Coturnix japonica: one gene and its partner. Each later gene encodes a partner of the first gene's protein in a complex. Links are inferred from orthologs where the notes say so. Each region holds a gene or a part of one and is shown on either strand. Other genes may lie near its edges. The genes, in order: TAF5 and TADA2B.

The links.
Region 2: TAF5 (region 1) and TADA2B share a complex: the UniProt entries of both Homo sapiens proteins name them as parts of the TFTC-HAT complex. The link is inferred for Coturnix japonica from reciprocal best matches to the Homo sapiens genes TAF5 and TADA2B.

What each region holds. Positions count from the first base shown.
Region 1 is NC_029521.1:20,663,662-20,673,725, forward strand, and holds the end of TAF5 (transcription initiation factor TFIID subunit 5), read left to right. Parts: coding exon 1-222; intron 223-1,274; coding exon 1,275-1,515; intron 1,516-2,625; coding exon 2,626-2,941; intron 2,942-3,599; coding exon 3,600-3,763; intron 3,764-4,204; coding exon 4,205-4,340; intron 4,341-4,822; coding exon 4,823-4,943; intron 4,944-5,650; coding exon 5,651-5,780; intron 5,781-6,472; coding exon 6,473-6,637; intron 6,638-7,050; coding exon 7,051-7,228; intron 7,229-7,351; coding exon 7,352-7,529; intron 7,530-8,119; coding exon 8,120-8,337; 3' UTR 8,338-9,650; downstream 9,651-10,064. UniProt on the Homo sapiens protein: The TFIID basal transcription factor complex plays a major role in the initiation of RNA polymerase II (Pol II)-dependent transcription.
Region 2 is NC_029519.1:72,520,742-72,531,280, forward strand, and holds TADA2B (transcriptional adapter 2-beta), read left to right. Parts: upstream 1-4,201; 5' UTR 4,202-4,248; coding exon 4,249-4,518; intron 4,519-4,898; coding exon 4,899-5,891; 3' UTR 5,892-9,456; downstream 9,457-10,539. Other genes in the region: CCDC96 (coiled-coil domain-containing protein 96), read right to left, coding at 2,024-2,566, 2,777-3,637, 3,748-4,143. UniProt on the Homo sapiens protein: Coactivates PAX5-dependent transcription together with either SMARCA4 or GCN5L2.

The DNA of each region.
Region 1 (10,064 bases):
GTGAGGCCCGGCTGCTCGGAGAGGACATCGGAAACGCCGCCCTCAGCCCCGCCGGTGCCGGGCTCCCGGGAGCCCCGGGGGGCGAGGGGGATGCCAGCAGCAGCGAGGCGCTGCTCAGCCGGGTCACCGCCGCCACCGCCATCTCGATTGGAGGCGGCGTCGCCCCCGTCGCCTCTTCCAGCCCTGGGGTGGCGGCAGCGGCCGCGGTGCCTCCGGGGAAAGGTGAGACCCGCTCGGTGCGCATCCCGCTGCCTCGGGGCTGAGGCTCCTCTGGGGGCAGATAAGGCTGCACCCCAGTCCTCGGGGAAATAACCGGTTCTAGCAGTCCCCAGTGCAGCTCTGGAAGAGATTGCGATTTTGGGGTGCAGCTTCTTAGAGGAGGGTGTCTGTTTTACTTGCTGGGACCAGTGTCAGAGTGAGAGGTGTTTCTTGTTGTCTGTGGGTACCATCTCAAGAGCATCACGAGAGGCTGAAGATTCTCTTTGTAGAGGTGATGGCTCTTGTAGTCAGAGTTCTCTTTGTAGTTAGAGGTGATGATGCCGGAGCCCCAATGTACAAGCTGCTGCGTTTTGGAGAAAGAACAATATGGTACTTGTGGAGAAGGCTTCATGCATTTCTAATGCAAGCTGACAGCAGCTTTAGATGTTTGTCAGGGTAGTAAATTTTAATGAAGATATTCTGTGGGGTAGCTTTACATTAAAACTGGAAGCATTTCAGGAACTTATATGTCCGAATGGCAGTAGGAGTACAATATGAGGTCAGCTTGTTCCTGGCATCACTTTATAGGAGATTAGTGATTTTAAAGACTGCTGTGAGAGTGCTAGGAAGTGACAGAAAGTCACTGCCCTGGAATGGATGTGTAGTGGTCTTGATAAATTGTTCACTTGATTAACTTAATTTGCTTGCTCATTAAAAGCAAAATAATTACAGTGATTACATCTTATGGGCTTAAAAATATTCAGCTCCTCATTTGACAGTTTTTAGCCCTTGCTGTGTAGGATTGTGATGCTGACATCAGCTTCTTTCCACGTACCTGGTAGGCAACTTTTGGCAGGGAGGGCACAAAAGATGACAAATGGTACTTGAAGTATCAGTTGCTGGGCCACTGTCCTCTCTATTGTAGCACTTAAAGGTGCAAACACAAGACAATGTTCTGTTTTGTTCTCAGTATCTCACCTTAGCAGAGGAGTTGTTGGCCACTGTATATTTGTTATTTGTGTGTTGCTCTTTGAGGCAGCTGTACAATCTGTTCTTATATGCTGATGCTTTTGCAGTTGGAGGAGGTGTTGTTGTGGAGGATCAGCCAGATGTGAGCGCAGTGCTGTCTGCCTACAATCAGCAGGGGGACCCAACGCTGTACGAGGAGTACTACAGTGGTTTAAAAAACTTCATTGAGTGTTCCCTGGACTGTCATCGAGCCGAACTGTCTCAGCTGTTTTATCCTCTCTTTGTGCACATGTACTTGGAGTTGGTCTACAATCAACATGAGAGTGAAGCTAAGTCTTTTTTTGAAAGGTAAGTGATTTTGATTCGTGTAATTCCATTGTGTGGTGTTTGCTACTTTGATTAAGACTGTAAGCTGTAGTGGGTGGCATAGGTGTGTGTGTATGTGCATATATACATACACAAACGTGTTCTTTTGTAGTGCTGAGGGGACAATCTGTGGATTGCTGTAATTGTGAATCCTTTTCCAACCTCCAGTATTAGAAAGAAGTGCAAACTCCGTGCTTTTGAACAGTACACATGCAGATTTTCATGGTGTTTATACTGAGGTGGTGGGTTCCTTGCTGCAATGAAGAGATGATGCTGCGTTAGGGAAAATTGTGGGCTCATTTACTAGCACTTGAAAGTTGCACTGAGATCCAAAGCAGTGCAGTCTATAAATGCTTACTAATATCAAAGTATGTGTATTTAAATTCATCTAAGACTAAAGGAAATGGTTAATCATTAATGTACATTTTTCTGTGCTCTTACTGTGTTTCACATCTTTATCACTTGAGGATAAGTTTAATTTGTATTCTGGGATCAGATCAATTATGAAACATTTCGACCCATGTTTATCCCTCAGATATGGTCAGAAAAAGAAGTTCTTTAAATAGATAAAATGTTCCCTGCCACAAGTATCTTATAAATGATTTGAATTAAAAGTGGGAACTTATTTTCTCTAAATGTATGTTGGCTATTAGATAATGTGGGTGGAAAGTGAAGAATGTATCCATTGTTAAATGTGCTTATTCATATGATGAATCAGTTATAAATACATCCAGGTAGTCTTACATAATAAGAAATGCCTTGTACTTTATTGTACCACAAATTGAAGTTTCATTTATGTAAATAGATTAGTGTAACTATTTACTGCAGGCAATAACCCTTTGTGCATATGCATTTCTGTGTCCTCTCTTCATCTTGTTTTTTTGAACTCTTGGTTAATTTTACTGTGTGCTGTAAGTTGTTGATTCCTTGGGAACAAAATTTATTTAAGCAGAAAGCTCATTCCATATGTAGTTCTGTGAGGACCCTTTGGAACCCACTGTGTTTCACGTTAAAATTATCTAGTTAAGTGTGCACTTAGGAGATAATATTTTCCTAATGAATCTCTTCCCACGTGTTAAATTGTTTCAATAGATTTCATGGGGATCAGGAATGTTATTACCAAGATGACCTCCGTGTATTATCCAGCTTAACCAAAAAAGAACACATGAAAGGTAATGAGACCATGCTGGATTTCCGAACAAGCAAGTTCGTTCTGCGTATTTCCCGTGACTCTTACCAGCTCTTGAAGAGGCATCTTCAGGAAAAGCAGAACAACCAGATCTGGAACATTGTTCAGGAACATCTCTACATTGATATATTTGATGGAATGCCCCGTAGCAAACAACAGATAGATGCTATGGTTGGAAGCTTGGCTGGGGAGGCAAAACGAGAGGCAAATAAAGCAAAGGTAGGAGGAAAAGGATGTTGCTCTTTATTATTGAATGCTTTGAGAGTAGTTTTTCAGGAAGTACTATATTTGTTTATATGTATATAATCATACTATATATGATTATTGCTACTTGATATCTTAAAAGACAACATGAACTAAATAAAGGTTCTGTACAAATAGATGTTATCAGTAGTAGAGAAATGAAAATGTGTCACTGACTGGTGGAAGGAACTGTGAGAGACAATGCTATATTCTGTTTGCTGAACTAGATTTAAACTCATGATTTTGTTGTCTAGTTTTAACATTGACCCATTTCGCTTCCTCTCTAGTACAGCAGCAATAGTTCTCACTTCCAGTTATTATTGCAAAGGCTGTTGGGTAGATCTCAATAGCGCAGTACCGCAATGCTACACAAATAAATTATGGAAGTTGTAGGGATTTTGCTTCAGGGAAGAACTAAGAGGTGGTGGGAGAACTCACAGTTGTCCAGGTCAATTGTTGGCTAAAACAGTAGAACGTGTCTTACACTTGTGCCAGGCTAATCAGTAATGAATGCAGTAATGTTCAACTTAGTAGAACTATCCCTTTCCGACTAATGTTTGGAGTCTGATGAAAAATCAGTTTTCAGTAAGAGCAAAAATTACCATTATGTCATACATCTTTTATTGGCTTGCAGGTTTTCTTCGGCTTATTGAAAGAACCAGAGTTCGATGTGCCTTTGGATGATGAAGATGAAGAAGGAGAAAACGAGGAAGGAAAACCAAAGAAGAAGAAACCTAAAAGAGACAGTGTAGGATCAAAAAGTAAAAAACAAGACCCTAATGCTCCTCCTCAAAACAGGTACCAAGGGAGGATGTGTAGGGAACTTCTATTAAATCCAGTATTACCATGTTAAATGTGCAGTGCTGGTCACATGATGTTTTTAGCTCTTTGTCCATTTCAGCCGTAGACAGCTTTAGTTGTAAGATTTCAAGGGGGATAATGCAAACCTTAGCATGTAGCCTTCTGTCTTTGCCCTTCACATCAATCTAGATTTCCCTTGATTTTAGTTGCTTACTGTCTCATCTTTTCAAGCCATACTTAATTAGTTACCTTGTTTCACTACTTGTCTGGATTTCATAAAGCTATTGCTTCTTTTTCTCATCAATCTTTTACACAGTATTTCATTCTTCTGAATTTATTTTGATATTTGAATATTGAGGTGTAGGGTTGCATGGGAAGGTTCAGCTTTCTCTGTTTAAATTGACAATATGGAAAGTTCATAAAAATGTGTGCTTCTAGAATTCCTCTGCCCGAACTGAAAGACTCAGATAAACTGGATAAAGTGATGAACATGAAGGAAGCTGCCAGACGTGTGCGTCTTGGGCCAGAGTGTCTGCCTTCCATCTGCTTCTACACATTCCTTAATGCTTATCAGGTTGGTAAAAAAAAAAGACTTTGGGCAACATGAAAGAGGGAGTCAAAATGATAAACTTCACTCTTAATAAAGAAAGAAGACTGAAGAGTTAATGTTGGTTATCAGAGTATTTGGAACGTTCAAAATTTTATTTATAGACTTCATTAAACTAATTTCCAAGTTCCTTGGGTTTGCTCTGATTTTACCTTAATTCTTTCTTTCACTTTTCCTATGTGACCCTACTCTACAGAATACAGTAGATAGTTTGCACCAAAATACTGGGAAGCAGTTCTGCTCTGTCATCATTAACTACGCCTCATTTATATATCTTTCTTTTTCGTGGTGCAAGAATGTGTGTGTTTATTTCAAGCAAGTGTTTGTCCAAACTATTCTATTTTTATCAAATGAGCATAGTTAATTCTCTTTTTAGTGTTTAGGGTTTGGTAGTGTTTGAAATACACTGTGAAAAATACAAACAACATCAATGGCTATTTTGTCTATAGGGTCTAACTGCAGTAGATATTACAGATGACTCCAGCATGATTGTAGGAGGCTTTGCTGACTCTACCGTCAGAGTGTGGTCCGTGACTCCAAAAAAGCTACGTAGTGTGAAGGCAGCAGCAGGTAATTAAGTAAAAAAAATGTAATGTGAGTGTGTGTTGTTTGTGTTATGTGTGTTTTGTGTGAACAGAAGAATATGTCTATTGGGAGAGTTGTTTTGAGCAGCTGCATCTTGTTACTTTGAAGAAACATTGAGCACGGCTGTATAATTGTGTCTTGTAACTACAAATAGAAATACATATCTTTAAGGGAATGAGGTATCTGGTTGTGTACACCTACTGCTGGGCAGCCTACAAACGAGTGAACTGTTCTTAGTCATTGTGCTGAATCAAAAAGTGCTTGTGGTGTTCAGCAAATAGTAGCCTACAGATTGAAAGCTGTTTTAAGTTGTGTGTAGTGGGAAGCTGTCAGAACATCTGCAAAGTGTGTTTGTGCCGTATTAACTTCCTGGGAAAAGGCATGGAAATTTGTCATCTCAAGAAGTGTGTCCTGAGGCTAAAAAATAAACCCCTCAGGATTTTATCTTTTATGAGGTTTTATCTGTTATGAAGACTTGTTAAAGAGTGGTTATTTACATAAAGCATTATTGCCACCTTTTACAATGGTAGAAGTATTTTAAGTGCCATTGTTTATATTTCACCATTACCTATTTCAAGGTGTTTTTGTTTATGAGTTTTTTTATTGCTTTTGGGGAAAATGCTATTTGTTTTCATGGCATTTGATGAACCTCTGACAGTTGTCATGATGTGTGAACTTTTGAAATCTTGCAGACCTCAGTCTAATTGACAAAGAATCAGACGATGTCTTGGAGAGGATCATGGATGAGAAAACTGCAAGTGAGTTGAAGATTTTATACGGTCACAGTGGACCTGTCTATGGCACCAGCTTCAGTCCTGATAGGTAAAATAAAGTTTACAAGCTAATTAGTTCGCTTGTGTTGAATCTTAATAGTGTGCTATGAATGTGAACGTGTTTATAATGCGGCTTTTACCAGAAGATCAAAGTAACTCTTGTATCTTCTTTAAAATAAGAGATTTGAAAACATTATGTAAGCTACACAAGAGACAACCATCACAGAAATACAGCTGAGAAGTAAGCTTTGTGTGGAACATGATTATAGAATCTATATACAGCCTATAGTCTATATAGAGAGTCTATTCATAATTTGTTAATAATTAAGAAAAAGATTTCATACCGAGTTCACATTCAGGGAATCTTACCATATAGTTTAGAGTTGCATTAAGATTATTCTAAAGTAATATAGTGTAGCAATCTACTGCTTTTTCCCCCCGCATGTGAATGTAATTCTTAAGTGAAGACTAGTTCTTTTTTGCAGCCCCTCTGTATTGCTGTGTCATCAGAATTAATCATCAACATTCAAATGTCTCTTATGCTTGACAACCAAGGGTTCAGTTCTTCCCGAACAGTTTATTGTTGTTTACTTCAGTAAAATGCTGATTTTAATGGGAAATACTAAATAGTAGCTGCCCAGTGGAGAGTTCTATGTATCATAGAATTGTTACAGAGCTTATGCAATGACTACACAGTCTGTTAACTTGGTATGTAATGTACTATACTTTCTCCTGTGACAGGAACTACCTGTTGTCCTGTTCTGAGGATGGTACTGTCAGATTGTGGAGCCTCCAAACATTCACTTGTCTGGTGGGATATAAAGGACACAACTATCCAGTATGGGATACGCAGTTCTCTCCTTATGGGTATTATTTTGTGTCGGGGGGACATGACAGAGTGGCTAGGTAAGAAATTAGATGAGTTTTCTACATACCAGTTTTGTGGTGAATTAACTCAGAAAGTGATTATTGGCTGATATAGTTAATAACCTATTACTGGAAATAAATTTTATTACACACGAATTAAAATACTAAGCAACTATTTTAATATATGTTTGTTTTCCTTTTCAACACACATCAGAGACATCATCCTCCTATGTGGTCATTTCATGTTAGAAATATTTTCTCCTGTTGTTTAATAACCATGACAGAATGTCCTTTATTTCTCCCTTCCCAAAAGCATAGTTTTCCAGAATCGATCCTTCTAATTCAACAAATTTACCAGTAAGAAGCCACTCATTAATTATTTCTTTTATTACCGTGCAACAGATTCTGAACTTCATTAGTGCTCCCTTTATTAACAAAGCTTTTCTTTTCAGACTGTGGGCAACAGATCATTACCAGCCTTTACGGATATTTGCTGGCCACCTTGCTGATGTGACGTGTACTCGATTTCACCCTAACTCCAACTATATTGCCACTGGCTCAGCAGACAGGACTGTACGGCTGTGGGATGTTTTAAATGGGAATTGTGTAAGAATATTCACTGGACATAAGGTAAAGGCACATCACCAATGTGACTTAATTTCTGTGGTGTGATTCTGAAGAGTAGCATTCAGAACAAGTGCAGATTGACTAATTAGCTCGTTTGGCTTTCCTCACTGCAAATGTCTTTTGTAGGGTCCGATTCATTCATTGGCATTTTCTCCTAATGGACGATTCCTGGCTACTGGAGCAACAGATGGCAGAGTTCTGCTGTGGGATATTGGACATGGTTTGATGGTTGGAGAACTGAAAGGGCACACTGACACTATCTATGCGCTCCGATTCAGTAGAGATGGGGAGATCTTAGCATCAGGTAAAAGTCACTGGAAGCAAACATGTTTCCATTGTGCTCCATCTGTTTGAAGTGGGATTATGTAATGATAATGTACCTTAAGCTGAGTAAGGCTAATTAGAATCACTAAATCCTGAGTGAGCCGCTACCACAAGAGTGAATGGTTCCTTCAGCTGACCAGTGCTCCAATGAAAGCAGAGTCCACTGGGCCTGCAAAATACTGAGCTCTTCCCTCTATCAAAGGAAGTATCCAAGTGTCAAGAAAAAAGTCATTATGTGACTTAGAATCATAAACATCTGGTGGAGTTGGCATGTAGGCCTAAGGTTGTTTTGCCTTTTCAAGTGCTGGCTGATAGAATGGAAACCCAGCTGTTCTCAGAGGTGCTTCTTGGCACTTTATCTGCAGTGCATTCCTGTTAGATGGCAGGTGATGGCTTTTATTCCTGCTTTCACTGTGTTAAAGGCTTGTTTAAAAATGCTTCGTTGCAGGATGAGTGCTTAGTATTCAGTTATGAGCTGTTCTGCTTTGTGAGTTTTAATTCCTGTTGTGTTAATTTGCTGTCTAGCAAGGAAAAGACTTTTAAATGTTACTTTCCTTTTTTCCCTTGTAGGTTCAATGGATAACACAGTTCGGCTGTGGGATGCAGTGAAAGCATTTGAAGACTTAGAAACGGATGACTTTACTACAGCCACTGGACACATAAACTTGCCTGAAAACTCCCAGGACTTGTTACTGGGTACATACATGACCAAATCAACTCCAGTTGTACACCTTCATTTTACACGCAGGAACTTGCTGCTGGCTGCAGGAGCCTACAGTTCACAGTAGATCAGGAAGACGTAAGACTGGCTGTGCCAAGTTGTTGCAGCAGTGACCTCAGAATGTGAGATGAAGAGGAATGTCTTGTATGGGTGGACTTTGTTAGTCCATTGCAGGAAAAACAAAACTGTAAACTAACTCAAGTGACATCTTCTCTATTCTGCTCTCGTAATTCACATCTTTTGCTCTCACAGTTTGAAAATGCTGGAGACTGACAAGACAGTGTGAATTTAAAGGAATTGTTTCATGGTGCTTTTGATAAATGTATCCATATGTATATATATACATACATACATGTATATATATGACAATGGCTGTCTCCTCTCAGAGATGGTATTGAGCTCTGCTGAAACTTCTGGAAAGTTAACAGCCCTGGTCTGTGTTCTCAAATGAGTTTTTTTAAAGCACTTAATATATGGTTTGCTAATGTTTAATCAGTCTCAAACACAGGTGAAAACTTCAGACTCAGAAAAGGAGAATGTAGTTTAACTCACTATAGCCTGGGCTGGGCAACAGGAATGGTGAGAATATTATAGCAACAAATAGGGCATTGAAAGAATAAGCCCAACAGGCAGAGGCTTGTGGGGAACTGCAGAGAAGTTACGTGTAGTTTTTAAGTACCAAGTCCTGAAAAGATTTCAAACTTTGTGCTCTTTTGAGGTATTAGAAATGGAGATCTTGTTATTCTGTTCTGACAAGAAGCTGCTGCTGTGCGATAAGGAACGCAGATTGCAATGTGAATTCTTTGGAGACACGCATCACCCAATCTTAAAAACAATATTCTTAAGCCCCCACACGTTCTATTAGATTTGAAGAGCTTCAAAAACCTGCATCCTTTGAGAAAACAGTTTAACAGATCACACTAAAGCTAGTGAAGGATCAAGAAACTGAAATCTGAATTCAAGAAAAAGAAATCTGCTGGCTCTCTACTGAAGATGCAGAAAACCAAGACTTGACGTTTCCAAGGTAAACAAAGAACTACCTCCTGTCTCATCCTTTTTCTGACTAAGCCTTGGAGTAAAGAGGCATCGGGGCATTAAATGTCAAAGGAAAGGTGGAAAATTCATAAGGAAGCTAATCCAGAAACATTCTTTAAAGAGAAATGGTTAAAACTAAACTATGATGGATTTGATCTGTAAAGGTACATCAGAACTTCCTAGTAGTCAATACGATCAGCTGGACTTAAAATGGTAGTGAATCAAACAAGTTACCTAAAAGCATGTACAGCTTTGAGAGCTTGAAGAAAACACTGCTGCATTCTGCCTTTTTATTTTGTACAGTTTTATACTTTTGATAGTATAATAAATACTAAAACCACACAGCTTGTGTCTGTAGACTGTATGGTGGAAGAAGATGCTTTCTTTCCTTGACAGCTGCAGTGGATGTGAGAGCAATGCTTTTAAAAGCGAGTGCTCTGCTTGGAGAAACAAGGGAGTTAGTTCAACAGCTGATGATTTAACTAAGATTTAGTTCTAATTGTATGTGATACATTTTTGCCAAGCATTACAGTTACAACAACTATTGTTCCTCTGGAAGGACATAAAGGGCAGAGGCTGATGTAAACAGAATGGAAAGACTACATTTACTCAGAAGGATGGCTTTAATAATAAATTAAGGATGGAGATCACAAGAACCTCATGTAATTTCCCCTGACCTACACTCTTTCTGCCAGCACCCACATTTACCTGCTGCTATTAAGTTTGGGGTTTTTGAGAAAGTAAAATCGCTCCATGGTG
Region 2 (10,539 bases), on another chromosome or scaffold:
ACATTGAAAACATATTAATTCTCCCATGATTTGTGTATCTGTATAGGCCGGTACTTGTTGCTATGTTGCTTTGAAGTGCAATAGAAAGCTGGAAGGTCAGTAAGTACTTTTTGTAGTACTACAGCAAATACTCTCTCATGAAGGGCATGAGAGGCCTAACATCTGCAGCATTTGCACTATGCTTTAAAGGATTTCTGAAACACACAGACAACTCTCCCTGGTGGGCTGTGTAGGAGGTGCTGTAACTGGCTGTGTGAATCAGTCTGCGTTGTAACTTGGTGTGTGTTTCTGTTGAACCCAAGTTGTCCGTGTGGCTCACCTGTCTGGTTGGGATGCATCCTGGAGCCACTGGGTGTTTGTCTCAGCCATCTGCAGCCTGTTTTCTTCTCAAAAACACATTGAATGTAACAGTGAAAATAGGCATAGTTGTGAGAAAAGGCCTGCTGCAACACTTGTGCACTGTTTGTTACTTGCAAATGTAATTATTTTGGTCTGTGATTCGATCTTTCTGTTCTTAGGAGATGTATATATTTTCCAGATGATTTCTTTGTGTATATAAGGTATGTTCTTTAATGAAGAAAAGCAATGCAATAAGGAGGAGCTTTGCACAGTTTATTATCAAACAAAATGCATTTGAAAACAAAATGACCTGCCTAAAGATGCAATTGTTCCAACCTCTCAGTAACTTGAAGACTACACTTGAATTTTGATATGAACAGAGATGAGTTGTAATGGCTTAGAATTACTTGCCACCAAGCTTGTTAAGTTCCTTGCGGCATACCAAATCTCTTCAATATTATGGAAGGTTTCTGTAATCGATTCAGGGATTGCATAACAAATAGTGACACCGTTACTTCAGGTGCTGAAGGCGATTTGTAACGTCACGCGTGACGTGTTCTCTCATTGAAGCGTCCCCATCTCAGCAGACTATTGTTTTCTTGGTGGGTTTCCACCATCACCGTACGAACAGATCAGAGAATCCAGAGCATTGTCACCAGCTTTGGAGTTTTGTACAACCCGCACTTTATTGCAAAGCCGTTTTGCAGCCGCCGTCAGCAATCAGTCATTAACGTGTCTCATTTGATTCAGTCTGGGTTGGAAGGTTCCTTCCAGCAGCTCATTTTTGAATGTTTTACAAACTGGACGCATAGAGAACTGTTGAGACATCCTCTGTACATCATGGTTCAGTCATTTTTATGTAGCTGGTTTCGTTTAGATACGTGTATCAAACTGGAACTTTTTTCAACTGTAAATATATGGTTTTATTAAATAAAGTCATGTAAAGTTACCTTAATCACCTGCTGTCGGTGCGACTGAGAAACCGAAAGCTCAGGTATCTCCTCCTTCCACAGTTTGGTCTCCAAAGATGTTCAGCAAATGTGGATGGATGTCAGGGGCGCCATTTTTTCCATGTGGAGAAACACAGCGACACATTTCCTTCCTACGCATGTACTTTCTGTCAGACAGCCTCTGCTGCTCACCATGAGCTGTATGATCATCCCTGTGTGGCACCTTCTCCCTCCCTTCCCCCTTTTTTCAGTCTTCTGGCTTTCTGATGCGCTGTCCTTGAACAGTGCAAAGGGCCTGTAGCTGTGGTGGGCTTGTGCTATTCCATCCCCACCACACACCACATGGTGCCTGCTAAAGCTCTAACAGCTGAAAGACCACAAAATTCAGACTAGTTTGGAATGAGAAATTTAATAGACATATTTGGAGCAGTAACCTTTCATCCTGTACAGCACCATAATGAAATTTGCAGCCAGTTCTGTCAACAGAATGAGGGTGTTAGTCCTTCTATAGTACGCTGTGTGTATGCAAGTGGGGTTTGCTGTGAATCCCCAGCATTCCTCCAGCTCGCAGCTCCATCTATGAAAGTTAACCTTGAGTTAATTCTCCAGGTCTCCTGGACCTGTGTAGAAGTCACACGTGGTGGTTGTACAGATTGTTACTGGATTGAACATGTTAAAAAGAGGATTACAGAAAAGGCTGCGCTTTCTCTATTTTCAATGCTTTACTTCCCTCATCAAGGTAGAAATGATTTGGCTTTGCTCATTTTTTTCTGAATCTCCCTCTCTTTGAGGATCAGAGCAGCGTGGCGATGTTTCAGTGCTTCCAGCTGCCGATGTAACAACTCCATGTTGTTCACCTTTTCCTCAAAGTCCCTCAGCAGTGTCTCCTCCCCAAGCAGGCCGCGCTGCTGCAGTAGTTTCACGCTGTGTGCCCTCAGCCTGTCTCTGACCTTCTTGCTCTTGGTCAGAGCGTCTCTCTTCTGCCTCAGGGCGCTCATGATGTCCCTCAGCTCAGCCTTGTGGCCTTGGTTCTCAGCTTCCGCAAACTGCAGCTTCTCCCTGATGTAGTTGAGGGTCCGTTCTACGTCAGCTACTTTCCTCTTGAGCTTCAGAACTTCGCAGTTGAGGCCTTCGAGCTTTTCGTTGAGCTGCTGGTTCTCTTTCTTCATGAGACTGATCTCTGCGCGGTTGCTGCCTTTCATCGATTCTCTCTGGGCTCTCAGGATCCTCTCAAGTTTTCGGACCTCAAGCTTCACCTTGATGTTTTCCAGCCGGGCCTGGAGGGGCGGAAGAACACAAGGGATGGAATCACACGAGGGATGGATGGAGGCACACGAGGGATGGATGGAGGCACGCGAGGGATGGATGGAGGCACACGAGGGATGGCTCCCCGCCCCTCATCCCCGGCTCGGCAGGGAAGGAGCTCGGCGCAGACGGAGGGCTGAACCCTTCGTGTTCGCGGCCGGACCCGGCGGTGCCGCACTCACCTCCCGCAGTGCGGCCTCCTTGTCCTTCTCCCGAGCCTGGATGTCCCCCACCGTCCTTAGGGCCGCCTCCCTGCCGCCCCGCCGCCGCTCGAGTGTCTGCACGGCCACGGCTTTCTTCCTCGCCTGGAAGGCGGCCCACGCGGCTCTGGCCCTGGCCTCGCTCTCCTCGCTGTCCTTCTGCCGTTCGTCCACCCGCAGCTTCCAGCTCTCTGCCTCCCGCTCCCTCCGCCCCCAAAGCTCCCGCAGCTCCCGCAGCCGCTCCGCGAACAGCTGCTGCCCGCCCGCCTCGTCCGCCCGCCGCTCGCTCCGCTGCGGCCTCAGCAGCTCCGCCAGCAGCAGCTGCAGGCGGCTCTCGGTCTGGTGCAGCCGCTGCCGCTCGGACTCCAGCTCGCGGTACTCGGCCAGCAGCTCGTCGCGCTCCCTTTCCTCCTCCTCCTCGGCTTCGTCGCGGCACTCGGCCTCCTCCGCTTCGCCTTCGGGCTGCGGGGGCTCCGCAGGCTCCGTCGGGCCCTCGGGCTCCTCGCTGTCCTCGCTCAGCGCGTCGCGTTCGCTCTCGGAGACTTCGCCATCCCCGGGCTGCTCAGCCGGGGGCTCCTCCAATACCGAGGGCTCCTCCAATACCGGGGGCTCCTCCAATACCGAGGGCTCCTCCAATACCGGGGGCTCCTCCAATACCGGGGGCTCCTCCAATACCGGGGGCTCACTCAATACCGGGGGCTCCTCCGGCGTCGACGCCGGAGGCTCCTCGGCCGGGGGTTGCTCCAATGCCGGGGGCTCCTCGGCCGGGGGTTGCTCCAATGCCGGGGGCTCCTCGGCCGGGGGTTGCTCCCAGATAGCCGGGGCTCCTCGGGCCCCGGGTTGCTCCAATCCGGGGCTCCTCGGCCGGGGGTTTGCTCCTCAAAATGCCGGGGGCTTTCTCGGCCGGGGGTTTTGCCCAAGCCGGGGGCCTTCCTTCGGCCCGGGGGTCTTGCCTCCCAATGCGGAGGCTGCCTCCGGCCGGGGTTGCTCCCAATGGCCGGGGGCTCCTCGGCCGGGGGTTGCTCCAATGCCGGGGGCTCCTCGGCCGGGGGCTCCTCCGTTGCCGGGTTCTGGCCGTTCCCGTCCATGTCTCCTCCCGTTCGCTTCCCCCGTTGCCCGGGTGACTGCTCTGCTCTGTCCCGGCCCCGCCCCTTTCCCCGCCCTCTCTCCCCGGCCACCACTGAGCGGCAGGTTCGCCCGGGGTCACGTCTCCGATTGGTCGCCCGAAAGGCGGCAGGGCTCCGCTCGGCCAATCGCAGCCTCTCGTTCACACGAATCCCCCCCGCCAACGGGCGTTTCGCCCCCATTGGCCGCGATCCGGAGGGGCAGCCCGAGCTCTCGTCACCCATTGGCCGCCCGGCGCGAGGCTCCTCCCGGCGGGAGCGCCGCCATTGGCCGCGTGTGAGCGGGGGCGGGGCCGCGCGTGCGCGCGGGGAGGCGGCGGGCGGGGTAAGATGGCGGAACTGGGGAAGAAGTACTGCGTGTACTGCCTGGCCGAGGTGAGCTCACTGCGCTTCCGCTGCACTGAGTGCGCAGACATCGAGCTCTGCCCCGACTGCTTCTCGGCCGGAGCCGAGATCGGCCCGCACCGCCGATGGCACGGCTACCAGCTGGTGGACGGCGGCAGATTCACCTTATGGGGCGCCGAGGCGGAGGGTGGATGGAGCAGCCGGGAGGAGCAGCTGCTGCTGGACGCCATCGAGCAGTTCGGGTTCGGAAACTGGGTAAGGAGAGTAAGGGCTGTAAGGGTGCGGGGCATCGAGCTGCTCCGAGCTCGGCTGGTCTCTATGTGCCTGTCCTGTGTAGCGCTGCGCTCTGGGTACAGGATTTCTTCCTAACATCCCCAACTTCAGTATCCCTGCTTTCAGCTTGAAGCCGTGCCCCTTTTCTTTATTTATTTCTCTATTACTTTCTTTATTTCTCTGTTGCTCCAAAAGTAATGCTGTAAAACAGAACTCTGGCAGGTGACACATTGAGCTCAGGGACTCAGGAGCCATCGTGGTGTCTTGTGAATCAGTTTTTGAGGGGCAGGGAAGAAGGAGCGAGTGCTGTGCTGGAGGTATAACGGGAACCTTCTTATTGCCCCTCCTTGTTTTCCATTTAGGAAGACATGGCCGCTCACGTGGGAGCATCCCGGACACCCCAGGAGGTGATGGAGCACTACGTGAGCATGTACATCCACGGCAACCTGGGCAAGGCCTGCATCCCCGACACCATCCCCAACAGGGTGACGGACCACACGTGTCCCAGCGGGGGGCCTCTCTCCCCCAGCCTGACCACGCCGCTCCCGCCCTTGGACATCTCGGTGGCTGAGCAGCAGCAGTTGGGCTACATGCCGCTACGGGACGACTACGAGATCGAATACGACCAGGATGCTGAGACACTGATCAGCGGCCTGTCAGTGAACTACGACGATGATGACGTGGAGATAGAATTGAAAAGAGCTCACGTAGACATGTACGTAAGAAAACTCAAGGAGAGGCAACGGCGGAAGAACATTGCGAGAGATTATAACTTGGTGCCGGCCTTCCTGGGGAAGGATAAGAAAGACAAGGAGAAAACTCCCAAACGAAAGATCACGAAAGAAGAGAAGGAGTTGAGGCTGAAACTGAGGCCTCTGTACCAGTTCATGTCCTGTAAGGAGTTTGAAGACTTCTTTGAGAACATGCACAAGGAAAGGGTGCTGCGAGCAAAGATCCGGGAGCTGCAGCGGTACCGGCGGAATGGGATCACCAAAATGGAAGAGTCGGCGGAATACGAGGCAGCCAGACATAAACGGGAGAAGAGGAAGGAGAACAAAAACATTGCCAGCTCCAAGAGGGGGAAGGAGGACGGCAAAGAAGGGGAATTTGCTGCCATTGAAAACCTGCCTGGTTTCGAACTCTTATCGGACAGGGAAAAAGTGCTTTGCAGCTCTCTGAATTTGAGTCCTGCGCGTTACGTGACTGTAAAAACCATCATCATTAAAGACCATCTTCAGAAAAGACAAGGGATTCCTTCCAAGAGCCGCCTCCCCAGTTACCTGGATAAGGTACTGAAGAAAAGGATTTTAAACTTTCTAACAGAGAGCGGTTGGATATCCAGAGACGTGTCATGAGGCCCATCCATCTGAGCCACCGCATCAGAGACCTGACAAGTTCCCTTCCTTTTCCTGCCCTCGCTGGAGATACAGAAATTATCTCATTCAAAACAGACAAACAAAAACAAAAGAAGCAAAAACAACCCCCCCCCCCCCCCGCGGTGCTTGTGGGCTGAGCTCCCAGCACACTTTTGCTTTGGGTCATGAAAAACCCTGAATTGTGAAACTTCTCCATTCGGTTGCATTACTCGTTAGAGTACACTGTTGTTACATTACTCAAAGAGATTGCTTTCATGTGAGCCTACTCAAGTCCGATGGTTCTGGGGTGATCACTTCACTCCTTACTGTTGGATCAATGTCAATGTCAGCCATAATCTTTGCCTTTTATTTTCCTTTTCTTTTTGTTTTCGGAGGTGAGAGCTGGTTTTCAGCAGCTGAGTTCTTCTTCTCCCTGATGTTTTTTGTCACAGTGATGGCAGCCAAGCAGAGCTTGCAGAAATCCTGAGCTGTCAGATGTGGGGTGCAGGGATTGGTGTGGCCGTTGCTGAGCTTTTGGAGCGCTGCCATTAGCACAGCCCAGGTGTCAGGATGTGGGGTGAGAGCTTCCGTGGGGTGCAGCGCTGGTGAGCTGTGATGGGGGTTGGTAGATGAGGTGCCTGCAGGTATTTGTGCTGTGTGTGAAGGCTTCTTGGAGAGCTGCCTGACCCAAGTGTAAGCTTGGCTGGGCAGCTGTGTGCTCTGCACTGGGCTCAGCACTGCAGTGAAGTGTTTGGTTCTGGCCAGCTGTGGCTTAGAGCGGGCAGAATGCTGCCCTGGCAACCTCAGGTGGTGAAATAACCTCTTCCTTTTGCAAGGAGAACCTGCTCTTCCTCTCCTGTTTGTTGTGCCCAGCATGTGTAGCCTGAGCTCTTGCAGCTGCCTCCTGAGAGCTGCTGGGAGGGATGGGGACAGGGAGCTCCGTTCTGAAGCTCATAGCGGCCACTGAGATTGGTTTGTACAAACTAAAAAGGAAAGTATATAGATGACAACGCACAGCTCTGTGCTCCTGGAGTGCAGAGCGGTGGATGCAGCCGTCGCAGCTTTCTGGCTGCATGTACCTCCAAACCTTCTGGACTAAATGTGCCGAAGTTTCCGCTGTGGTTGGCAGAATGGATCTCGGTTTGCCGCAGTGGCCACTTTGGTGTTGTTGTGTTGTCAGAGCTCTCTGAGGGCTGCGCTCCCTGCCACACAGGGCTGGAGTTACAGAGCAGCAGAACACAATAGAAACACCTCACCCACCCCACTGTATTAGTAGTATATACCGGTTAAGGGAAAGGTGTTCAAGGAGGAGCAGAGGCGGCCTTTCTTTATCGTCATTTCATTCTTAGATTCCTGTGCTGGCATCCAGCCACGTGAAATTAATAAAGGAGAGTGGATTCTGTGTGACAGACATCAGTGTTATCACACCTGGGCTGTGCGTGGTGGCTGGCTGGGCAGCAGCTCCACTGTGTGGGTGTGCCAGGAGGTGGAGCTGAGTTGAGAACAGCTGTGAACACGGGAGGTGCGCTCTGGTTCTGGTGCCGCGGGCTGTGGTCAGAGAGGAGCCCCCGACATCTTACAAACAGTATTAATTCTGCAGCTTGGCAGAGCTACGCTGACCAGAACTGGTTTTGAGTCAGTATCTCCAGCGTTATCAGAGTAGTGTTACCACTGAGTTTAGAATACAGAGAGTACAGTTATAAAGCCAGCATTTCTAAGGAGAAGGGGAAAAATAACACACAAAAAAGCTCTTAGTGCCTTTTTGTTTTGAGCTTGTGGTGTTACGTCCCTCCAGGAAAGGAAAGGGCTGTGTGCTCTGGAGGAGTGCTTTGGCTCACCTGGAAGTGGCTTCTCGGGCACTTGAGACAGCGTTGTAACTCACTGCAGTGTGCCAGTAGCTTTAAGAACCTCTTCCACCTACATGCACGTACAGAGCGCACGCGAGACAAGTTCAGAAGGTGTGAACTGTTGATTATTTCCTCTGTCCTTCTCCTGTGGAAAGGAAGCTCAGCCTTTCCAGCCTTGGAGTTATGCAATTCGGTTCTTCCTCTGCCCGGCTCTGGCTGCAGCTGGGAGGTTAACACAGATGTGGGTTTCTGATTTATTCCTATCTTCCTCAGATCTCAATTTTATATTCCTACGGTGCTTTGGCACACCTAAGCCTAACTGAAGCAATAGCCTAAAGCCCATCTGAACAGTAATTGAAGAATAAAAGTATCTCGGCACCAATGACTCATTTAGACGTTGTAGAACTGAATTCTGCATTCACTTTGTAGTTCCTGAATTCCTCAGCCCTTCCAAAATGTTTCTTTGGTGCTAGACGTAACTTATTGAACATCAGGATGAATGTAAAATAAAGTATTTTTAATGTATGAGATATGGATATCGATATTTATTTTATATTTGCAAGCAGATTCAAGGTGGTAAATGTTTGCTGTAGCAAATGCTGATCCCTTGGAAAGGGTTTCCCTAGAAGCAGCGTCTCACTGTCAGCTATGCTGTCGATTCTAAAGGTGACTTGCACTAGAGGATGCTGCTGTCCCGTGTTTTCAGATGGAACTGACATAGTCTAAGCATTCCTTTGTTACGAGCTGCTGTTTTGTTTTCTCAAGCACAGATGCAGTTATCTTAAGCTGGCGATTTAGTAGAGCTGTGCTGCTTCTCGTGTGGTGAAGGGGCTGAGAAAAAGCGATGCAAAAACTCTTCAACTTTGTGTCTTGTGTTTGTCAGGAAGCACTTCCTGTACTGTACCGATACCCTGGCCTTCGTGTTGCTAATGAAGAGGTGCTTGGTTGGTTTGTTTGTTTAATGCTTAATGCTCTTATTTTTGAATGAAAAAATAATGCTAACGATAGGATCTGCCCTAACAGCATTGATGCAAGCCGATGGAAAAGTGCTGTCAGCTGCTCAGTCTGACCTGCTGCTGGTAGATGGCGGCAGTCGGCCTGTTGTATTGCTGTACACGTGCTTCCATCAGTCTCAGCCGTGCGTTACAGTACAACTTACTGAGTAGCAAAGGAGCATTAACCTTCATTCTGTGCATACAACAGATGAGGAGGGCTCCTTACAGCGTCCTGCTTACAGCCCTTCCTGCCCTATGTTCTGTTGCAGTCCCAGCCAGGGTTAAGAATGGCATTAAGAGGTGTTGGAGCCTCTGCCTGTAAATGGCCTTGTGGATCACAAAGCTGAAGCACTCTGTCGTTCTTCTCTTGCATGGTGGCTGCACTGGGTTTCTTTGCAATTGTAATCGGCTGCGTCAGCCTTTTGGTTTACTGCTCTTCCTTGCAAGGTGTTTTTGCTTGTGCCCCAGGTGCTCTTAAGTGATGACGAATTCAATACTGTGAAGGAGGGTACCTGGTGAGCACCTCTGGTTCATCAGCTTCTTCCTTAAAGGGAATGTTGCACTCATTTGCATAGTGTACTGGCGTAGCTGTGCCAGGCACACAAATGTCTGTGCTGAAATCATGTAAAACCTAACTGATGTTGTGCACACTCAGCATTTTACTAGATTTTTGCATTGTATATTGGTAAATAAACTTGTATTAAAGTTTCTTTCCACTATTGATTTCATGGTAACGTAGCCCTTTTCCTCATTGTACCAGCCAAAGCCCTGGCAGCAGTGACCAGAGATGTGTTTTAGCTACATGCTGATGCGTGAAGTGCTTGTAACAAACCAGCTTAGGCCAGAGGTAGCAGTGGCAGCTTTATTAGCTGTTCTTACACTTCAGAGCCACACACTTTTTCATTTCTTCACTGTATTCTGCTGTCATCTGTCAGCACACGGGTGCTTGGAGAGCTCAGCAAAGGCTTTCCTGTATGCTACCTCCTCTGCAGGGGCACACTGAGGAGAAGGAATTATTTCACTCAGACGTTGTTCAGAATTCACTTAGTTTTAAGGAAACAAGCTTGAGTCCTGTGCTGCACACTCACCAGTAAGCTGCGTTTAGCGGTACCTTAAATAAAGTAACGGAGTCTAACAAAGACACCATCTAAGGAGCTGGTCAATTCATTACTAAAATCTCAGTCTCAACTGACACGTGAACTTAAGAAGCTCCTTTGTTCAAACCACCAGCAGTGAGGATGGAAAATTCAGAAGCCCTTACTGTTCCACTACCAGGTCCTAAATAACGTGTGTGATTCTGATGTTTCAGTCTGGTGTGTTACATGTATGTGCCTTGAGGATCTGAGGGAAGACACTCTGTCAGGTGTGTAGATTGGCATGTCCCATCCATTCAACATGACCAGATGAACATAGAGCAGAGCACTCTGCCGCTCTTGGCACAGTATTTTAGCCTCATTCTGCAGAATGGGGTGCAGCAGGTGCAGTTACACGTGATGAGAGCTGCACATGGGAAAAGTTCTATTGCAGCCCAAGATCCAAGGTGAGCAAACACAAGAAATGAAACTGAGTTCACACTGTTGTTTGAGTCACTTACAATTACTTGTGTAGCTCTAAATGTAGCAGATACCACTTCAGGTATTCTGACTCTCAGTGGAGTTTTAACTACATCTTGCATAACAAACCGATGGCAGAGCTTGAAAGTTACAAGTCTATCAAAATCCATTAAATCAATTTAAATATTAAATTAAAAATCCAGAGATAGATAGGATAAGTAAGTTGTATTGGTTCTTCAATGCCATACAAGTA